Linked DNA regions of Anolis sagrei. The protein of the gene in region 3 interacts with the protein of the main gene of each other region in a biochemical or structural test. Links are inferred from orthologs where the notes say so. Each region holds a gene or a part of one and is shown on either strand. Other genes may lie near its edges.

What was found.
Region 1: of the proteins of LZTR1 (region 3) and HRAS, one has a biochemical effect on the other in vitro, tested with the Homo sapiens proteins (3 studies listed by BioGRID, with this or other methods). The link is inferred for Anolis sagrei from reciprocal best matches to the Homo sapiens genes LZTR1 and HRAS.
Region 2: the proteins of LZTR1 (region 3) and KRAS form a complex in vitro, tested with the Homo sapiens proteins (2 studies listed by BioGRID, with this or other methods). The link is inferred for Anolis sagrei from reciprocal best matches to the Homo sapiens genes LZTR1 and KRAS.

The regions. Positions count from the first base shown.
Region 1 is NC_090021.1:240,068,617-240,076,191, forward strand, and holds the start of HRAS (GTPase HRas), read right to left. Parts: upstream 3,080-7,575; 5' UTR 2,598-3,079; intron 210-2,597; exon of another isoform or gene 189-209; intron 1-188. UniProt on the Homo sapiens protein: Involved in the activation of Ras protein signal transduction. Ras proteins bind GDP/GTP and possess intrinsic GTPase activity.
Region 2 is NC_090025.1:186,777,257-186,784,731, forward strand, and holds the start of KRAS (GTPase KRas), read right to left. Parts: upstream 3,033-7,475; 5' UTR 2,975-3,032; coding exon 2,923-2,974; intron 1-2,922. UniProt on the Homo sapiens protein: Ras proteins bind GDP/GTP and possess intrinsic GTPase activity. Plays an important role in the regulation of cell proliferation.
Region 3 is NC_090024.1:206,568,587-206,576,375, reverse strand, and holds the start of LZTR1 (leucine-zipper-like transcriptional regulator 1), read right to left. Parts: upstream 3,044-7,789; 5' UTR 3,007-3,043; coding exon 2,840-3,006; intron 2,719-2,839; coding exon 2,656-2,718; intron 898-2,655; coding exon 841-897; intron 1-840. UniProt on the Homo sapiens protein: Substrate-specific adapter of a BCR (BTB-CUL3-RBX1) E3 ubiquitin-protein ligase complex that mediates ubiquitination of Ras (K-Ras/KRAS, N-Ras/NRAS and H-Ras/HRAS).

The DNA.
Region 1 (7,575 bases), on a different chromosome or scaffold from region 3:
AAACAAGGAGATAAAAGAAAGATGTAGATTTCTTTAAGGATCCATCACCTCTCCTCTCCTCTTGCTCTTTCCCCCACCCCATGTTTTCTGGGCTGACAGGAAGTGTTTACAGAAGGTAAAGTCAGTAAAACTGAAGAGGAGAGAGAGAGGGAGGCAAAAAAAGCAGATTGTTTTGCCTCCTCACTTACCTGCCCCCAAGGCTCAGAGGCACAGCAAACGCTGTTGGAAAACCCTCTCCTGGGAGCCTAATTCCTTCTGCAGACAGGAAAGGCAGCCCTTAAGGAACATGCAAAAGGCTGACACGCAAAACAAGCACCCACTGCCCCCTGGTCACATCATCTGAACACATGCCTCACTCTCTCACACAACCCCTCCCCACTCTAGGATAGGTTTCTGCACAGGATCTATTCAGCATGTGCAGCCACTGTTAGGATCTCCTTAAAAGAAGGTGTCCAGAAAAGGATGACCAAAATGAGGAAGGCTGATGGAGCCTGGTCTGTTTAGCTTAGAGAAAAGAAGGCAGACAGGGGACAGTAAAAGGTAACCGTTTCCCCTGACATGAAGTCTAGTCATGTCCAACTCTGGGGGTTGGTGCTCATCTCCATTTGTAAGCCGAAGCTTTGTCCGTAGACACCTCCAAGGTCTTGTGGTTGGCATGACTGCATGGAGCACTGTTACTTTCCAGCCGGAGCAGTACCTATTGATCTACTTGCATTTGCAGTTTTCGAACTACTAGGTTGACAGAAGCTGGGGCTAACAGCGGGATCTCACCCCGCTCGCTGGATTCGAACCACAGAGCTTTCAGTCAGCAAGTTCAGCAGCTCAGCAGTTTAACCCGCTGCACCACCAGGGGACTGCAGCCTAGTGTAAATACCTGAAGACTCTCTTTCTGCAGCTCTGGAGTCTGGGACATAATGGAGCAATGGGTTCAAACCGCAGGAATACAGAGAGATTCCACCTAAACACAAGGAAGAACTTCCTGACAGGAAGAGCGGTTAGAGAGTGGAATGTGCTGCTGCCTTGCAAGCTGGTGGAGTCTCCTTCTCTTGAGAGCTTTAAGCCGAGGCTGGATCGAAATCTGTCGGGGTGTCTTGATCACTTTATAATATAATATCTTTATTCTTATATCCTACCTCCATCTCCCCGAAGGGACCACTTACATGGGGACCAAGCCCAATATAAACAAAGGTTAGGAATAACACTATTAAACACATATAACAGTAAAATATATTTAAACAGCTATTTTTTTCATGTCAGGGGCGACTTGAGAAACTGCAAATCACTTCTGGTGTGAGAGAATTGGCCTTGTGCAAGGATGTTGCCCAGGGGATGCCGAGATGTTTGGATGTTTTACCATCCTTGTGGGAGGCTTCTCTCATGTCCCCGCATGGGGAGCTAGAGCTGACAAAAGGAGCTCAATCCACTCTCCGATACTGAACCGCTGAGCTGTCAGTCAACAGTCCTGCCAGCACATGGCTTTAACCCATTGCGTCACTGAGGGCTCAACTAACGCAATCAAAAACATAGAAGAGTAAAATATGTTAAAACAGTAAAACCAATGAAATGTAAAACATCATAAAACATAGACCAGACATCAAATAACCAGTAGTTGGGGGGGAAAAGGTGGGCCTGTGCAGATTTGAGACTAATAGGGCACGACAAGGGCTGGTGCAAATGCAACACTGTAGGGCTGGGAATAAAGTGCTGGAGAGCCAATCAAAAGATTAGGCTTTCATGGCTGGAATCACTGGATTGTTGTAGATTTTTCGGGCTATATGGCCATGTTCTAGAAGCATTCTCTCCTGACGTTTCACCTGCATCTATGGCAAGCATCCTCAGAGGTTGTGAGGATGCTTGCCATAGATGTAGGTGAAACGTCAGGAGAGAATGCTTCTAGAACATGGCCATATAGCCCCAAAAACCTACAATGACCCAAAAGATTAGGGCTAGGCAGATTTAACAGTGTGTTTCTGCATGGCAGAGGGTTGGACTGGATGGCCCTTGGGGTCTCTGCTAAGTCTAGGATTCCTTTTGCAACCGAAGGACTGACAACAAAGGGGAGGAGCCTGAGCACCTCGGCGCCCGGAGACCAGCGGCGACTCCCTTCAACCCCCCCCCCCCGACGACCAGACCCACCCCGCGCCCCCACGGAGGGAGGGGGAGAGAGGGAAGGGGGGGAGGAGCGCGCGCTCCCCTCGAGGGCTCCGTCTCCAAAAGCGCGCCCCTCTTTCTTTCCCTCCAAAAGAGCCACACAGCCGCACTGGGGAGGCGCTGCGGCAGCCCCGCCCGGGAAGAGAGGAGAGGAGACCGAAGGAGCCTTTGCCTTTGGAAGGGGGAAAGGGGTGGGGGGCGGAGGGCCAGCAAGGCACAATCCCAGCCAAGGGAGAGAGGGAAGGAAAGGAAGGAAGGAAGGAAGGAGGAAGAGTCGGCCGCCTTTGCCTACTCGCCCTCATGAATGACTTTACAAGCCGAAAGGCGCGCGTGGAAGGGGGAAGAGGGAAAGGGGGTTTTCTCCCACGCTATCCCCAGTCTCTTTCGCTCTCTCTCCACCCCTTCAAAGATCCCCCACAAACTGAAAGGAGAAAGGTGCCCCTCACCTTCTACTCGCCGCCGTCTTTTCCCACGAGGCTCTTTCCCTCCCACTTTTCCGGGAGGGCTCTCAAAAGGGAGCAAAGTTCGCGCGTGGGGAAGGGCGGGGCAGGGCTAGAGACCCCAGGCGCCTCTTTTGGCAAGCCTTCAGTTCTCCGTGGGTCCCTCCAGGCAGGGGCGGGCTTCCCACGGAGGCGTCGGCGGCGGAGCCCCCTCTTTGCGTCGCCCTCCCCGCATTGGCCCCGAGCCCCGGGCCGCCACGGCTCCGGCGTGGGTGCGACAAGGCCGGGGCACGACGACCAGGAGGAGGAAGGAGAAGAAGAAGAAGGAGAAGGGACCCACGCCCAACGCAGCCCCGGGCGCTCGTCACTCCAGCCTCTCCCGGAGCAGCTGATAGGGCTCAACCCTCGCGCCCCCGACTGCGGGTCCGGCCTCGCGGTGGGCTGGGGAGGCTGTCAATCACGCCCAGAGGGGCGGGGCCAAGCGCGGGAGGGAGAAGGAGAAAGCCAGCGCCGAGGTCTCTCTCTCTCTGTGGGGCTGAAGGAGGGAGGGAGGGAGGGAGGAGGAGAGGAGGAAGCTCGCCCGCCCGCCCGCCTGCTTTGGGTGGGGGAGTCGCCCCTGGTGTATTTTTAGAGCGTGCTGCTTCCTCCAGGGAAATCAAACCACCTCCTCTGCCTTTCAGCGCTGGGCAGGGCCTCCCTCGTCGGTATGAATTCCCCGCCGAGGCAGCACACTCCCATTTCCTTCCTTCTCTATTTAGGGTCGCGCCCGCCTCCTTCTGAAGGTCTCGGGCTGCCTTCGGGCTTGGGGCCGCCATCAGGCCCTTCTTCTGGGTTTGGTTCGGCTACAGCCGCGAAACGAGGGGCCGGGGGGAGGAATGGGGAGGGGAGTAATGAGGAGGGGAGGGGGCGCCACACAAAGGAAGGAGGGGCCGGGTTCTCGCCCCACGAGACCCCCTACTCCCACCGCCCCGATGGAGGACGGAAACGCCCTTCCACACAACAGCCGAGCATCCTTTATTGGTGCCACCATGCCAGGGCTCTGCCAGTATTCAGGCAGAGGTGAATCAAACAAACACCCAGCTTGTTTCTAACAGTTTAATTAAAGCAGCACTTCGTTTCTGGCTGTTTTAATAGTCCAAAATATAAAAAATAAAGATAGCAGGAAGCCACATAATATAAAACAAAACTGGGTAAAAGTATGATAGCTGGGACCGAGTGCAGATAGTGCTACGCTGATTGCGCAATGGTGGTTGTGAATGAGGAACACGTGTGTGGTCAAGAGACTGGGTGGAGTGAGACCAGGTGGAGTGAGATACGCAGGCAGGACAGAGTCTGCAAGTTTGTAGTTGCTTTACCATTCCCGCTCAAATATTGCTTTACTTGCCTTAAGTGCAATGCTTCCCTGTTTGTTGCCCCCCCTTTCTGTTTTCCCTCCCTCCCCTTCTGACCTGAGTTGGGCTCACCGCATTGTGCTATCAGCATTGGCGAAGCAGCGTTGCAGAATCAGCAAAGTGCTACCTGCACTCGGTCCCAGCTATCATACTTTTATCCAAAACAGATAGTAAACACTGCACCGTAGTCAAAGGGTCCAGTCCAGTGGTCAAATGCCGAGAGTTTAGTGAGAGAAGTCAAAAGTCTATACAATAGTCAAAAGCCAATCCAAAAATTCAAGGTTCCAGGGTTCCAAGAGTTCAGGAGACAGGTCAGGACACCAAAAATCCAGAAAACTTAGGAAAAACCAGCAGCATATACTACCAACATAAAACAAATACTTTTCTCCCAAAGATCAGCCCCGAGGTCAGCTCCTTAAAACCAGTAACACCCAACTGCAACCTATCCTTTGCATCCTGCCACTCTTAATTGCGTTTACCTGTAAACTGTTAGTTACAAATTACTCAGCCCTTTAGAACTAAGACTTACATTAACTCTTCCATCACCAACTGTTGGGTCTGCTACCACCAACCACCATGAACTGCAGGACATGATACATGACAATTGGGAACGCCCCAAACTGGCCACAGTTTGGGTGGTACAATGAACAAAAACTTTGTTGCAGGCACACAATTGGGATCCATAGTGCATGACACTACCTTTGGGCCTATGAGTGTGAGAGCTGTGCATAAAACCAATGAATTGCGTCTTTAGACTTACATCACATTTCTAAGATAATTCATTATATTGTCGAAGGCTTTCATGGCTGGAATCACTGGGTTGTCTGTTGGAAACTAGGAAAACAGGGTTTATATATCTGTGGAATGTCCAGGGTGGGAGAAAGAACTCTTGTCTGTTGGAGGTAGGTGTGAATGTTTCCATTGGCCACCCTGATTAGCATTTGATGGCCTAGCAGTTTCATATAAACCCCATTTTCCTAGTTTCCCACAGACCTCAAAACCTCTGAGGATGCCTGCCATAGATGCAGGCAAAATGTCAGGAGATAATGCTTCTGGAACATGTCCATACAGCCCGAAAAACTTACAACAACCCATAATTCATTATGTTGTGTTGCTGTGAGTTTTCCAGGCTGTATGGCCACATTCCAGAAGCATTCTCTCCCGATGTTTTGTCTACATCTATGGCAGACATCCTCAGAGGTTGTGAGATTTGTTGGAAACTAATATACCAATATACCTCACAACCTCTGAGGATGCCTACCATAGATGTGGGCAAAATGTCAGGAGAGAATGTTTCTGAACATGGCCATACAGCCCAGAAAACTCACAGCAACCCAGTGATTCTGGCTATAAAAGCCTTCAACATTATGCAAATCATCATCATCATGGACAATCATAAGTGGCAAAGTAGGGTTGTCTTTCAAGGGTAGTCTTTGCAGTGACTCCTATTCTGGATCCCTAGGAACTTTCAAAACGAGAACACACATTTCCAGATGGAAGGGGGAGCCAACAAGGGATTCACCCTCTATTTGTGCCTCTTCAAAATCTACAGCACTGCTGGTAAGTTACAATGTTAGAGCCCCAGGGCCTTCCCTGTTCTCCATGTTTATTCCGCATTTTTTAAAGTTTTCTTTAAACCCATCTTTAAATCTCTTTTGCTGTTCACCAACATTCCATTTTGAACATGTTATCTTTTTGTGTTTTTCCATTGCCATGTCTAATACTAAAAGGTTTTATGATGTGAAAATATAGAGAAATAATAATAAAATAACTTTTCTAATCTAAAATTAGAATAAAAAGTGTGCATATGTTGTTTTGAAACAAAGGAGATAGAAAAGTTGAGAAATGGAAAATGAAAAGTCCTAACTAGCACTTTCTACCCTGTCTCTGCTGTCCTCTTTATAATGAAAAAACCTATTATTGTTGTCATAAAACTTCATATCTCTGGTAGATTAACTTTGCAGGATCTCTTGGATACCATTGAGGATCCTGTTATTCTTGTCACTGAATTCTCTTATTTTTTTATTTTCTTGTTCTTCCTTTGCACTATTAATTTTCCCTTGGTGCTATAGAAAACCCGATATTTTCATTTTCTTTTCTTCTTTTAAATAGTAAATAAAAGGCTGCCATTCTTCTTCAGATTTAGAAGGATCTGGCAGTTTTATATGCCTAGTCAGTCTGTCCATTTCTAATTGTATAAACTTGATCAATTTGTCAATTTCTACCTGATCCATCATTTTTGTAATCCATAAATCTTGAGAGGGAATTACTTCATGTTTCCGGTAATCACAAATAATGAAAAGCTCACCTCCTCTTGTTTGGTGAATTTAGTCCATTGATATTTAAAGAAAATATATTTAAAGTCCTTGATCTTAAAATAGTAGATGATCATCCAATTATTCATCACGTGGAGTGGCCTGCTACTGTAGTTGAACATCTTCCTTATTAAGGTTGCCTTCTCTTCTTGCCTTCTTGGATGTTTTCTTATTGGAAAGCCCACAATCTATTGGAAATTTCAGTGCACGATAACCTTATTGAAAAGATAAAAATGATGTCACCTCCGTTTGGGAAAATTTGAATCTCTATGAACTTAGAGACCACTTGAAAACCACAAGTCAGGAATGGCGTGACCTTGTTAGAAGTCAAACCTTAAGACAACTGATATTCATAAAGCATTCATGTGATAGCGCCATGGGTAGCTCAAGTGTTAAACTTAGGAACCATGTCTTTAAACGGTTATGGATAAAGACAGGCCACTACAAAAATCTATCTGGTTAGCAGAGGATGTTTGTTTGAAATAGAATTTGCAGTTGCCCAAAAGATATACACTCCCTTAAAACATGCACTCAAGAGAGAAAACAAAGTAGTCTTCTTTGAAAAAAAAATATAACTTGTTTACTAACAAACTTGTATATATTCAGTATACAGGCACATAGTATTTAAAATGTCTTTAGGCATATCTGTACTCACTCAAATCCCTGAGCACACACATCCACCTCCAGTGAAGTCTGAAACCAAACATATCTCATTGAAGTCCAAAAGTAAACATCTACCTCATTGAAGTCCAAAAGCAAACTACAAAATTGAGTCCAGGTCTGAAGCCCCTCCCACAACAAAGAGGAAAGCCAAACTGGAAAATCAACATACACATAGAATGCAGGTTAACAAATATATATTAACAAACAGTTAGTGAAGGATTGTAAGGTTGCTGTTTCCAACATCTCTTTCTCCTTGGCCTTCTTAAGTTTATCTGTCAGAAAAAAGCAATTTATTATTTCTTTATTATCTGCGGTGGAAATTTTCTTAATACTGCAATCCTGGTATTTCTTATTTCAATTGGATCATTGGTGTTAACTTGCAAAACTTGATCTCATGTTTTCTTTCTTGAAAACAACACAATCACAGCTTATTCCTCATTGCATGTTGGGATTGGACTCCAAAGATGCTGTCAATTTGAGCCTCGAACACTTGCTCTGGTCTACCAAGGATTCCAACCACAACTTATGTTATTGCCATTTCAAGTTCCTGTATAGATTCAGGTATTCCTCTCAACTCAAAGAGTATTCTGTTTGCTCATACTCTAATATTTGGAG
Region 2 (7,475 bases), on a different chromosome or scaffold from region 3:
TTAATATAATTATTTATTGTTTGTTGTTTTGTTTATTGTTTATTGTTATGTTTCTCCTTCCCTTTTAACACGCCTCTCTACCTTGCTTGCTGGGATTTCTTCCAGGGTGGGCCCCACGCGGGACCGTGGATCACAACAACAACAACAAACCCCCAGCTTTCCTTTTTTTTCTCCCCCCTCTTAAAAAAATAATGAAATCCCCATTGAATCGGTGGAAAGAAGAGGTTACTCGCGAGTAAAATGCCCACGCGAGGCGCGACCCGCGTGGGCCAAGCTGAAAAAAAGAAAATAAATAAATACTGAAGATCACATTGGAAGAAAGGGGAGTCCAATCGGAATGTTGTTTTTTAAATCAGATTTAAAGGAGTGGGAGATGAAATCACGCGTGGAATCCAGGTTAGTCCGGTTTTAGAGGGAGGAGATTTTGGAAAGTAATTTTCAGCTGGGAAGAGAGCAAAGGATGATGCAAATGCCTTATTATTATTATTATTATTGTGCAAATGCCTCAATAGTATTATAGTATTATTATTATTATGCAAATGCCTTATTATTATTATAGTATTATTGTGCAAATGCCTTATTATTATTATTATTATTATGGTGCAAATGCCTCAATAGTATTATAGTATTATTATTATTATTATTGTGCAAATGCCTTATTATTATTATTATTATTGTGAAATATCTTATTTTTATTCTTATTAAGATGGTGCAAATGCCTTAATAGATTATTATTATTATTATTCTATTAGGATGGTGCAAATGCCTTAATAGATTTGTTGTAGTTGTTGTTATGGTGCAAATGCCTTACTATTATTATTATTCACACAAAAGCACAGTATGTCACAGCAAACGAGATCTATATGCTGGATTTCGTATCACAAAATCATTATTATTGTTATTATTAGGATGGTGCAAATGCCTTAATAGATTTCTTATTATTATTATTATTATTATTATTATTAAGATGCAAATGTCTTAGTATTCTTATTATTATTATTGGGATGGTGCAAATGCCTTAATAGATTTATCATTATTATTATTAATGTTATTATTTTGGTGCAAATGCTTTATTATTATTATTATTATTATTGTTTTATTATTATTAATATTATTATTATTATTATTATTATTAAGATGGTGGAAATGCCTTAATAGATTTATTATTATTATTATTATTATTATTATTAATGTTATTATGGTGCACATGCCTTATTATTATTGTTATTTATTATTAGGATGGTGCAAATGTCTTAATAGATTTATTATTATTATTATTATTAGGATGATGCAAATGCCTTATTATTATTATTATTATTATTAGGATGGGGTTTCTTGGTGCAACTTGAAAAACTGCAAGTTGCTTCTGGTGTGAGAGAATTGCTCATCTGCAAGGACATTACCCAGGGGACACCCAGATGTTTTGATATTTTACCATCCTTGCGGGATGGTAAAACATGTCCTTGCATGGGGAGCTGGAGCTGACAGAGGGAGCTCATCCGCACTCTCCCCGGATTCGAACCCTCTTCAGTCCTGCTGGCACAAGGATTTAACCCATAGGGCAATTAGGGGCTCCACATTAGGATAGTGCAAATACATTATTATTATTATTATTATTATTATTATTATTATTATTTTACTGACACTAAAGCACAGTATGTCACAACAAACAAGATCTATACGCTGGATTATTATTATTATTATTATTATTATTATGGTGCAAATGCCTTGTTAGGATGGCGCAAATGCCTTAATAGATCTATTATTATTATTATTATTATTATTATTATGCCAATGCCTTGTTTTTAGGATGGTGCAAATGCCTTTATATTATTATTATTATTATTATTATTATTATTATACTGACACTAAAGCACAGTATGTCACAGCAAATGAGATCTATACGCTGGATTATTATTATTATTATTACTATTGTTATGGTGCAAATGCCTTAATAGATCTATTATTATTATTATTATTATTATTATTATTATTATGCCAATGCCTTGTTGTTAGGATGGTGCAAATGCCATTATTATTATTATTATTATTATTATTATTATTATTATTATTATGGTGCAAATGCCTTAATATTATTAGCATTATTATTACTATCATTACTGGCAACTAGGGAAAGGATGCTCAGCCTGCCAGAAAGAAGTATGTCAGGTAAGGGTGGATTTTTATATATTTTGTTTCAATCCAAACCTGAGTCCATCCCTTGTCAAACATTTGGAATCAGGTCTTAAAACACCTGCAAACCACTGCAGGTGAGCATTATTATTATCCTTCCAAAACCCAGTCCTTGGAGACAACGCTGCTTCTCCTAATCAATTACCAAAGAATCAATAATCAATCATGATGCAAACAAACCAATGGCTGGTGAAAACCCCTGTTACATAAAACCACAATGAATCAGGACACAGTAGTAGTACAGTAGACTCTCAGTTAACCAGAACTCTCAAGCAACCGGCAAACAAAATCAAAGAAATAATAATACTGCATTTGCAAAGCTGTGTTGGATTGCAGTTTGGTTTGGATGCCTGCATTTCAGTATGGAATTCAAGTCAATACAGAGTTTATGGTATTGTATAAGGTATCGTAGTGGAGTTTATGGTATTGTATAAGGCCTATTTCTCATAGTAACTCTCAAGCAACCAGAAACTGCATTGACCTGGCACCTACCCATCCCCATGGGTGCCTCTTAACAGAGTTTACTCTAATAATAATAATCCCCAAGGAATGCATTTGGAATAATTGCCCACTTGGAGCATCATGTACATCATGTACAGACTGCAGTCAGAGGGGATTTGGATCCTTTAGGGAAAGATTTGGGGTCTGCCGTGGGGTAGGTGGCTCCAGTGCCCCCCAATAAGCCCTTTCCACCCCCCAAATCCCCCCTCCCCTCCGTGGCCTCCTTACCCCTCTCTCTGTCTCCTGCCCGAGGTCCTTTAGTTGCTTCTAGGACGTACATACAATGCTCCTTCTCTGCTCTCTGGCAGCTTCCAAAATAACAGGCAAGCGAGCTGGGTCCCCCCCCCCCCTTTTTTTTTTTTTTTTTTTTTTTTGCCTGCTGAAGAATAGACAGAGAGAGAGAGACAGAGAAGGGAGGGTGGCAGAGCTTCTATCTTTGGGAGGCACCCAAATCCCATTTGATTATGGATGCTAAGCAGTGCCGGCTATGGTTGGGGCCTGGAAGGGAGACCGGCGACAAATACCAGAGGAAGGAGTGCGCCAAGGGTTCTTCCTCGCCGTAGAACGAATGCAGTTTGATACCGCTACGACGGACATGGCTCAATATTGATTTATTTATCGTGTCAGGAGGAACCAGACAGTTGTATTACATTTTTAACAAAACAAACAAACAGACAAAACACAAAGTTTGCAAGCTTGGTAGTTGATTAAATGTCCTTTGACCAGTATCTGGCCACTTGGAGTGCCTCTGGTGTTGCCGCAAGGAGGTCCTCCATTATGCATGTAGGTTGCATTGCAGCAGGTGGTCAGTGGTTTGCTCTTCTCCACGCTCACATGTCATGGATTCCACTTTGTGGCCCCATTTCTTGAGGTTGGCTCTGCATCTCGTGGTGCCAGAGCGCAGTCTGTTCATCTCCTTCTAAGTCACCCAGTGTTCTGTGTGCCCAGGAGGGAGTATCTCATTTGGTATCAGCCATTGGTTGAGGTTCTGGGTTTGAGCCTGCCACTTTTGGACTCTTGCTTGCTGGGGTGTTCCAGCGAGTATCTCTGTACATGGCTCAATGATATGGAATGATGGGAGATGGAGTTGAAGGTTTTGAGCTAAACAACTAAACAACATATCTTACGATTTTATCTTATTGAGCCGTGCCGGTTAAATTGGTGTCAAACAGCATTAATTCTGCACTTCAGCTGTGCCCTATGTTGCAAAGATTGTTTATGTAAATCTGGGATACTCTTTCTTTGCGTCCGCATGCAAATGAATTGGCATTAAATGTTTATTCTTGTTTGTTTGCTAGATCAATTGTGCCATTATTTTTATTTATTTACTAGCTGTCCCCTGGCACGCGTTGCTGTGGCCCAGTCTGTGTATATGTGTTTTGTGTGTGTATATGTGTGTATATATTTGTGTATGTGTGTACATATGTGGTTTTGCGCGTGCATTGTAATGTATTTTTAAAAAATATGTGTTTTGTGTGCCTTTATGTGTATATATATTTCTGTATATATTTCTGTATATATGTGTGTTTGTGTACATATGTGGTTTTGCGCATGTGTTGTAATGTATTTTTTGTTTTTTGGCTTTTTAAGTCTCTTCCACTGTGTTTTTCAGTGTTTTTATGAGTTGTCAAAGGCTTTCATGGCCGGAATCACTGGGTTGTTGTAGGTTTTTTCGGGCTATATGGCCATGGTCTAGAGGCATTGTCTCCTGACGTTTCGCCTGCATCTATGGCAAGCACTACCTCTGAGGATGCTTGCCATAGATGCAGGCAAAACGTCAGGAAAGAATGCCTCTAGACCATGGCCATACAGCCTGTATTGTGTCCAAATTTGGTGTCAATTCGCCCAGTGGTTTTTGAGTTATGTTAATCCCACAAACGAACATTACATTTTTATTTATATAGATTGGTCCAGTGAATGTTTATTTTTGTGAGTTATAGTTGAGAAAAAGTATCTAATCTCAATCCCGGCAAAACTAAATTTACTTGACAATAAAAAGTAGATGGGGCCACAGTGACGCAGCGGATTAAACTGCTGAGTTGCTGAACTTGTTGACCAGAAGGTTGGCAGTTTGAATCCATGGGGTGGGTGAGCTCCTCGTTAGCCCCAGCTTCTGCCAACCTAGCAGTTCGAAAACATGCAAATGTGAGTAGAGCAATAGGAAAGGTAATGGCGCTCCATGCAGTCATGCCAATTACATGACCTAGGAGGTGTCTATGGACAATGCCGGCTCTTCGGCTTAGGAATGGAGATGTGCCCCACCTCCCAGCGTCAGACATGACTACACTTAATGTCGAGGGGAAACCTTAACCTTAATTAAGGTGTAGATATACCTTGATAATAGAATCATAGATTTGGAAGAGACCTTGTGGGCCATTCAGTCCAATCCCCTGGCAAGAAGGAAAATCGCCTTCAAAGCACCCCCAACAGATGGCCATTCAGCCTCTGTTTAAAAGTCTCCAAAGAAGGAGTGACCACCACACTAGGGAGTAGGGAGCAAGCTTGTTTTCTGCTGAGACTAGAATGTGGAACAATGGCTTCAAATTGCAGGAAAGGAGATTCCAACTGAACATTAGGAAGAACTTCCTGACTGTGAGAGCTGTTCAGCAGTGGGGCAGAGAGTTCCACTGCTGAACAGCTCTCACAGTCAGGAAGTTCTTCCTAATGTTCAGTTGGAATCTCCTTTCCTGCAATTTGAAGCCATTGTTCCACATCCTAGTCTCAGCAGAAAACAAGCTTGCTCCCTACTCCCTATGACATCCCCTCACATATTTATACATGGCGCTCATTATGTCTCCTCTCAGCCTTCTCTTCTGCAGGCTAAACATGTCCAGCTCTTTAAGCCGCTCCTCATAGGGCTTGTTCTCCAGACCCTTGATCATTTTAGTCACCCTCCTCTGGACAAATATGGCCCTAGAGTAGCAGAAGTTGACCACAGACAACTTAGAAATTTTCCACAAGAGTCAAATCCGCAGGAGGGCCGACTATACCAGTTTGGCTATCAAATTGGATATCATAAGAAAAGCGGAGGCTGGTGAACACAAAAGTCATCGCTGGATGCATTTTTGGAAGTGATCTTTACAAGATTCAGAAAGTTGTTTGCTTGTTTAATGAATTGTTTGCTTCCTTTCTAATGTACACACTGCACCGGGATTGTGGCGCGCGCAGCTGGCTGAGTGTCAGCTGCGTTAAGATCACTCTGACCAAAAGGTCATGAGTTCGAAGCCAGCCCGGGTTGGAGTGGGTTTCCAACCAATTGTGTGTACCCTGTTGTCGACCTTTGCAACCCGAAAGACAGTTGCATCTGTCAAGTAGGAAAATTAGGTACCACCTTAAAGTGTAGGGAGGCTAAATTAACTGATTTATGAGGCCATAAAGAAGACTCCAGCAAAGCATTCCAGCAGGGAAGCATGCGGGGAATGCGGAAGTGCTTCATCAGCGTAGCAGATGGACAATGAAAGCAACAGCTCCCCTGGTGGCCAGAAAAAGTTAAATAGCATCTGTGTATGTCTGTAAATGTTTGTATGTCAAAATTGGCATTGAATATTTGCCATATATGTGTACACTGTAATCCGCCCTGAGTCCCCTGCGGGGTGAGAAGGGTGGAATATAAAAGCTGTAAATAAATAAATAAATAAATAAAATAGTTTATAATAAAATGCTTCTGAAACATATTGGTTTTGTGGTTTATGAACCTACCTCACTTTCTTCCATGTGCTTTCTGCTTCTGATGCTAAATATTCTCCTAAAGACATCTACTTCATTCGCTGAGGCATACCTGGCTAGATTTCTCCTTATCCCTTCTAATTATCTATCTATTTCTGGTGTTCAGACAGGAGTGCTGATGGTTAGGTAGCCAAAACGGCACCATCCCCACCCAAAAGGGAGACTCCGACATCTCAGTCCCTTTCAATAGTCCTATCAGCGCTGGTCATCTTCCATTCCTGTATAATTTGCTTTCTAGGTCACTGGGTAACTAGCTATACTTAAAACACACTCAGGGTGTTGGTTGTTGTTTTGGCAGGCTAAATATATCTGTGTGAAACCGCAAGAACAGGCCCATGGTAAATTGCATTTACACCACTTACTTGGCCAGTTGCCTCTAAGTAAGCCATGGCTCGATTACACAATAGGATTGGAATGGAGAATTGGTTAGCCTTCCAGATGTTATACTACAGCATCCATTAGCCCCACAATAAGAGATTATGGGAATGCTGAGGTTTTTTTTGGGGGGGGGGGGTACTTTGTTTTGACTAGATCTAAAATTGAGGGATTTTAGTGTGAGCTATGATCCCAAAAATAGTAATGGATCTTAGCTCTTGATTGCAACCCAACACCATTTGAAGGGTCACATTCCTCAACCATGTCGTAGGAGGAGAAAAATCCTACAAAACATTCTTTGGATAAGTGTAGATCTCAAAGGTCATTACTTTGATGCTGCAAATTGAAATGGAAGTTTGCTCAAGTAGCATCATTAATGTTTAGGAAGTCTGACTTGGCCTCGGTAGTCCACGCTCTGGTTACATCCCGTATAGACTGCTGCAACGCACTCTATGTGGGGTTGCCTTTGAAGACTGCCCAGAAGCTTGAAATGGTCCAATGAACGGCAGCCAGATTGCTAACAGGAGCAGCGCTCGGGGAGCATACAACTCCTCTGCTGCGCCAGCTCCACTGGCTGCCAGTTTGCTACCAGGCACAATTCAAAGTGCTGGCTTTAGCTTATAAAGCCCTAAACGTTTCTGGTCCAACTTACATGTCTGAACGCATCTCCCCTTATGAAC
Region 3 (7,789 bases):
AAACAATGGATACAGAGAGCCAATGGTACACTGCTGCAGACACTTTGGTTGGGAGACTGTGTCATCAATGCAGGAGGCCAACGAAGCTTCACTATCATAACTATATCTAACAGTGCCACTCTCACAAAACCTGCATGACCGCACCCCAACCAAAGTAGTTTTGAAACACTGGAGACTGGTTGCTGGACAATAACATCTGGAGCATTCTGCCAGATGTGTGAAAAATAAAGAACAGCAGCTGGATTAACCATTGAGAAAAGCAGCTTTCCTGAAACAACTGCCCTTCTCAATCTGTCCTACAAACAAGAGAGTGCAGCAGACATAATTTTCCAGTGCCTTGAAAACGTTTTGTTTGGTGAGTTGCCAGGCTGCAAAGGTAGGTTTTGGGGGTATGCTGGTCATTAATGAGTATAAGCAGCAATCCCCGGCAGTTTCGAGATTATAAATCCAACTAACCTGATACTGAACTACTACAGTAGTAGGCACAAGATATATGGAAATCTACTGGTGGATGTTTTTATTACGAGTGTAGGTCAGTTGGTTTTAGATTTCTAAGCATTTGATTCCTATCGATGTAGTGGCAGCTACACAAGGCTTTTGGGAATGGGTAAGTTGTAAATTAACTAATGAGAAGGATGATTAGGAACAACTTTTTATGCAAAAGAATTACAAGTTAATTCTGGTATTAGAAACAACAATCTAGGCTGAGCATGTGTACATAGCTGAAATGAAAATCATGTGGCTTTCCACAATTTATACTTTGATACTTATATAGAACTCTTCATTTCAGATGAGTAAAAATGTATAAAACATATTAAAATATTAGAAATATGGTTGTACCTGCACCAAGAACAGTCCTTCACATCAAATCTCAACAGGTCATTCAACATAGTTTTTCTTTAGAATAAGAGAGAAAAATAGAAAAAGTTATTTTCGGGTACTATAAAACATTACCTCATATTAATTGCAGCACTTGTACCTATGTATATCTATTAACAATTGTATTGATCATAACAGGCTAAATATTTATGTGTTGATATTATGCCAACAGTATCTATCATCATTTATATTTAATACTAGCCATCCCCTGCCATGCCTTGCTGTCGCCCAGTCTGCTGATCTGGAAAATAAAGTATTGAGAAAGTGTTGGTTTCTAATATATGTAACTGATTGTGGGTAAACAATATTTCTTGTTGTTTCTTTGTCAGTGTGGATGTGAAGATTGTCTGATTTGCCTACTCTGGAACATGCAACATAACATTGTCCTTCTTTGGGGGTCCCTTTCAAATCTTTAATACTGTAAGTGTGTGTGTGTGAATCATATCTATCTATCTATATCTATAGCTGGATAGCTTTATGTCAGGGGGGCCTTGATTATGTTTCCTTGTCCTGGTGAAGGGAGTTGGACTGGATGGCCTTAAGTATTTTCTGTTGGTCATGGGGGGGTCTCTGTGGGAAGCTAGCCCCATTACTGACTGTCTCTTGAGGAGAAATTAAAAGGGTATACTATCTGCAAGGCGACTCTATGAATACCTGACACTGTGGATAGCAGAGAACCAGAAATCGAAAACATTTCCCATCAGCCTGTTCTATGGGCTGTTACAGAGGTGCCATGGGAAGCAACCAACAGGTGGAGCCCCCAGTGGCGCTGTGGGTTAAACTGTTGTACCGGCAGGACTGAAGACCGACAGGTTGCAGGTTCAAATCCGGGGAGAGCGTGGATGAGCTCTCTCTATCAGCTCCAGCTCTCCATGCGTTCCAGCTTTCCTATCCAAACTACCTCTCCTTATGAGCCACATAGGACTTTAAGATCATCTGAGGAGGCCCTGCTCTCGATCCCACCTTCCTCGCATATGAGTTTGGCAGGGATGTGAGACAGAGCCTTCTCAGTAGTGGCCCCTTGGCTATGGAACGCCCTCCCCTGGGATATAAGATTGACTCCCTCCTTTCTAACATTCCGCAAAATGATTAAGACCTGGATCTTTAAGCAAGCTTTTTCTACTGGAGCATAATTAGACGTAAACAAATATATGGAATGACTGACAATTCAACCGGACAACGATTTTAGTAAGGAGATGCCGAGGATCTTGTTTTGACAGATATATTGCTTTTTATATTACATTTTAAAGGCTGAATTGTTTTATTAATGGTTTTAACTGTATTTTGATATTTGTTCTGGCATCAAATTGTGCTGACTAGGAACCACCTTGAGTCACCTCTGGCTGAGAAAGGTGATATACAAATACGGTAAATAAATAAATGCGGGGACATGAGAGAAGCCTCCCACAAGGATGATAAAACATCAAAACATCTGGGTGTCTCCTGGGCAACATCCTTGCAGATGGCCAATTCTCAAACAACAGAAGCGACTTGCAGTTTCTCAAGTCGCTCCTGACATGGAAATAACAAAACAGGCATGGGCAAACTTCGGCCCTTCCTCCTGGTGTTTTGGACTTCAATTCCCACAATTCCTAACAGCCTCAAGCCCCTAAGGGCTTGAGGCTGTTAGGAATTATGGGAGTTAAGTCCAAAACACCAGGAGGAGGGGCCGAAGTTTGCCCATGCCTGATCTACACTGTAGTATTGATGCAGTTTGATCCCCTTTAGCTGCCATGGCTCGATGACAGCTGCAGCTGGACCAGAGGCTGGCCTCACCCGTTATCTCCGCCGAAGACGTAGATGGCATCCCGATAGGCGACCACGGTGTGTTTGCTGCGGCTGAAAGGAGAAGGAGGAGGAGAGAGAGGGCCTTGACTGCTCGCCCGCCTTGTGAGTGAGGCCTTTCCCCTCGGCCAGGCCTCCCTCTCCGCCGCCCTCCTTCCTCCTTCCTCCTCCTTACCGGGCCCCCACAAACTCGTCGCAGGGCGGGAGTCGGCGCCAGCGGTGCACCGTCTCGAAGGGCCCGAAGTTCAGCGTCAGGTACTCAACGCTGTCCGAGCAGCTGTGGTCGAAGTCCACGCTGGGCGCCACTTTGGAGCGGCCGCCCGCCGCCTCAGAATCCTCCATGGCGCTCCCGGCCCGACTACCACTCCCGGCATCCCCCGCGGCCTCCAGCTAATCAGACAACGCGCTTGACTGGACGTCAGACTACACTCCCCAGAAGGCCCTCCGTCAAGCATGACGTCAAATCAGCGCGGCGGCACACTTCCCTGGAAGTTGTTATTGTTTCCCTGGGAACCGCTTGGTACAGGCTGGGTGCCTCTTCTCCGAAATGCTTGGTTTTGAATTACCTTTTATTCCCTCGGATTTTGGAATACCTGAGTACAGAAGAATATATATTTCATGGAGAAGGGACCCAAGTCTAAATCCAGATTTCACTCATGTACATTGTCACACATCGCCTGAAGGTAATTTTGTCCCATATTTATAATGTACTAGCCGCCCCCTGCCACGCGTTGCTGTGGCCCACATGGAGGTTCTGTGTGGGAGGTTTGGTCGAGTTCAGAATGCTCTTTGATTGTAGGTGAACTATAAATCCCAGCAACTACAACTCCCGAATGTCAAGATTCTATTTTCCCCAAACTCCACAAGTGTTCACATTTGGGCATATTGAGTATTCGTGTAGAGTTTGGTCCAGATCCATTATTGTTTGAGTCCACAGTGATCTCTGGATGTAGGTGAACTACAACTCCAAAACCAAAGGACACTGCCCACCAAACCCTTCCAGTATTTTCTGTTGATCATGGGAGAACTGTGTGCCAAGTTTGGTTCAATTCCATCGTTGGTGGGGTTCAGAATGCTCTTTGATTGTAGGTGAACTATAAATCCCAGAAACTACAACTCCCAAATGATAAAATCAATTTTTTTGAGTGAAGGACATACATTGGGTTGTTAGGCGTATTGTGTCCAAATCTGGTGTCAATTTGTCCAGTGGTTTTTGAGTTATGTTAATCCCACAAACGAATATTACATTTATATAATTCAAATTGAAATTGAATCCAGACAAGACAGAGGTACTCCTGGTTAGTCGCAAGGCCGAACAGGGTATAGGGCTACAACCTGTGTTGGACGGGGTCGCACTCCCCCTGAAGACGCAGGTTCGCAGTTTGGGTGTGATCCTGGACTCATCGCTGAGCCTGGAACCCCAGGTTTCGGCGGTGACCAGGGGAGCATTCGCACAGTTAAAACTTGTGCGCCAACTGCGACCGTACCTTGGGAAGTCTGACTTGGCCACGGTAGTCCACGCTCTGGTTACATCCCGCCTTGATTACTGCAACGCTCTCTACGTGGGGTTGCCTTTGAAGACAGTCCGGAAGCTCCAATTAGTCCAACGGGCGGCAGCCATGATACTAACAGGAGCGGGGCACAGGGAGCACACAACTCCTCTGCTGTACCAGCTCCACTGGCTGCCGATCTGCTACCGGGCTCAATTCAAAGTGCTGGCGTTGGCCTTTAAAGCCCTAAACGGTTCTGGCCCAACTTATCTATCCGAACGTATCTCAGCCTATCAGCCCGCCAGGACCCTAAGATCTTCTGGGGAGGCCCTGCTCTCTATCCCGCCGGCTTCACAGGTGCGGCTGGCGGGAACGAGAGACAGGGCCTTTTCTGTGGTGGCCCCTCGGCTTTGGAACACCCTCCCTATAGAGATAAGGTCAGCCCCCTCGCTGATGGCGTTTCGGAAAAAACTGAAGACATGGATGTTTGAACAAGCATTCGGATAATCCGACGAACGAATTTTGACGATTAAGGATTGGTAATTACAGACGACGAATTTGGATTGTGATTCCAGTTACGAGATGCATTTGGATTGTTATTGGTGGCCCAATAATTCTGTATTTTATATGTGTTTTTATGCTTTTAACTTGAATATTGTTGTTTTTAGATGTTGTAAACCGCAATGAGTCGCCGACTTAGGCTGAGATATTAGCGGTATACAAGTGTAATAATAAATAAATAAAATAAATAAATATATATATATATAGAGAGAGAGAGAGAGAGAGAAAGATTTATTTGTTTATTTACTTTGTATTATATCCCGCCCTCTCTCCCTCATTGAGCAACTTAGAGCGGCTAACACAGGCATGGGCAAACTTTTCGAGGTCAACTCCCACAATTTCTAACAGCTGGTGGACAATTTCAACAGAAAGGAAGAAACCATGAAAATGAACCAAATCTGGCTACCAGTATTTTAAAAAAATCAAAACAGTAAATAAAGAGCAACACTCAAAAACAGGGGAATTCCAGACAATAAACAATCAGGGCCAGCTAATCACCTCCCAACAAAGGATTTTCCCCAGACAGGAAGCAGCCAGATTTTGAAGCTGCAAGGCCATTAAATGCTAATCAAGGTGGCCAATTGCAACATTCACATCTGCATCAAACAGACAAGAGTTCTTTCTCCCATCCTGGACATTCCACAGATATACCGAGTGAGGCAACATTACTTCCTTTTTTTCAAAACTTAATGAAACCCATTGTATGAATCAGAATTTATTTTTTTAATAATGTAGGTAATAATGCATACCTAAAGTTTTGTTTTGCATAGTTTTGAAGATCAAATTAGGTAGGTGACGTCCCCCATTCTCCATACACTGAGTAAACCGATTTCTGAAGTTTGGTATGACTCTTGCCAGCATAGCAGTCGTTATGTTGGCAATTTCTTTCTGAATGTTGGTCTTCAAATCTTCTAGGGTCCTTGGACGGTTCACATAAACACAGGATTTCAAAAACCTCATAGAAAAAAATCACAAGGGGCCTAATCTGGAGAGCGGGCTGGCCACTCCAAATCCGCTTGAAAAGTAGGCCTCCATGGCAAAAGCACGCTCCTCACTGTTCCAACGCATGATGGTGACTGAACTGTGCCAGGATAAAACTTTATACTCCCACCTCTCGAACGAGACCACTACATCTTCAACCGACTGAATGACGCACATTTTAAAAAAGGAAGTTAAGCTGCCTCACCCAGTATAAACCTCATTTTCCTAGGTTCCAACAGACCTCACAACCTCTGAGAATGCCTGCTATAGATGTGGGTGAGACGTCAGGAGACGTTTGGAACATGGCCATACAGCCAGGAAACTTATAGCAACCCAGCCAGTAAGCTGTCTGGAATTGTGGGAGTTGAGTCCAAAACACCTGGAGGGAGGGCCGAAGTTTGCCAATTCCTGGGCAAACATATTCAATACCCTTCAACAATCATTTTGTTTGGGAAACAAAGTTTATCAATTGACCCTTAGAAAACAAAAGTCATTTAACTTATGGTGACCCTGAAGCAGAACTTTCCAAGCATGTCATGTTGGTGTCACATTTTTAAAATCATGTATCAGTTCACAACACAGTAATTCAATTTTACTAGCAAACTGGCAATTAACTAGCCCCTTATAATGAAATTTGTTTATTATATGTTTGCACACAACACATAATAATGAAAGGTATGGGCACGCAACACAGGAGATGGCCTTTTCAGTATCTGCTCCCAGGCTGTGGAATTCCCTCCCAAGAAAAACCAGAATGCCTTCTGCAAGCAGGTCAAGAGCTTCCTTTGCCAACAGCTTTTAAGGAAAGGTAATATAAATTTTAAAGGCCATTTAATGTATTTAATGTATTTGCTGTATTTTAAGTGTTTTAAGGTACATGTTTCCCCTGACATTAAGTCCAGTCTTGTCTGACTCTGGGGGTTGGTGCTCATCTCAGTTTCTAAGCTGAAGAGCTGGCATTGTCCATGGAAACCTCCAAGGTCATGTGGCCAGCATGATTACATGGAGCAGCATTATTCTGTTTTACCACACTGTTATTCATTTTTTAACTGTTGTATTTTTCTACACAAAGCATGTGAGTTGGACCAGAAGTGACTGGTCTTTGTGGTCTCCACATGACACATAAAGTCCATTCACCTTAATGCGGCCTTGTCCCGCCTTCCAAAAAGTTGCAGGATGCTTCATGGAAGCTCTATGGGCCAGTGTAAACAGTTGGGGCACTTCCTATTTGAATGTGTCTATGGCTGTTCACATTACCATCCCACTTTCCTCTGGCTGGGGAGTCGCAGGGACAGGAGATGGCAATTGCCTTCCCTTGCCATTATGGCCTTTGCAGTGGCTTCTGGACACAAAAATGATAATTGGTACTCCGCACCTGGAACAATGATGTGATTGGAGAATGGAGGGAGGAAAAGAGGGAGCGGAGTGGTGAACACTGCCATTTTTATGTTCTGTGATTGCTATTAAGACCAGATCAACAAGAGTAAGGTAAGAGTGGCAGTCTGGTGGCATTGAACCAGTTCCAGCACCACTAGGACATGTGGATGCCATTCAGCCACCAGCTTGTGGCTGCACGATGCAGAGACTTGTCAGTTCCTCAACTTGCTGAATGGCTGTTTGTGTGGACTCTGGTACCCCACTTCTGAGCAGCAGCACCATTTGCGGCATGTGTAGATGGCTGCCTATTGTGCCTTGCCAATGTTGAAGAAAGAAACCCTGTGACACAATACTGTAGATGACATTTTATTATAGTTTAATGAGCTAGGTCAAATTTAGTCATACTTACAGTACAGCCACTGTAGTCAATGAAACTGTTATTGATTTCAGTGAGTCTAAACTTACAACTAAGTGTAGACCCCAATAAAATGATTTCAGCAAATTCTTGTGAGAATAGTAGGCGGTCGGAAACATTAATTATTATCATGCTGTATTGCAGGTGACACATCAAGAGTACAAAAAAGTTTCTAGCAAAACTTTGGCATTATTAACAAGATATTCAGGACTTTTTGATTAAAAAATTAGACTAGATAGAGATTAGAGAAGTCTGTGACTTTCCAAAAGTTAACGCAACAAATGGTGAGGGGTATTGCAAT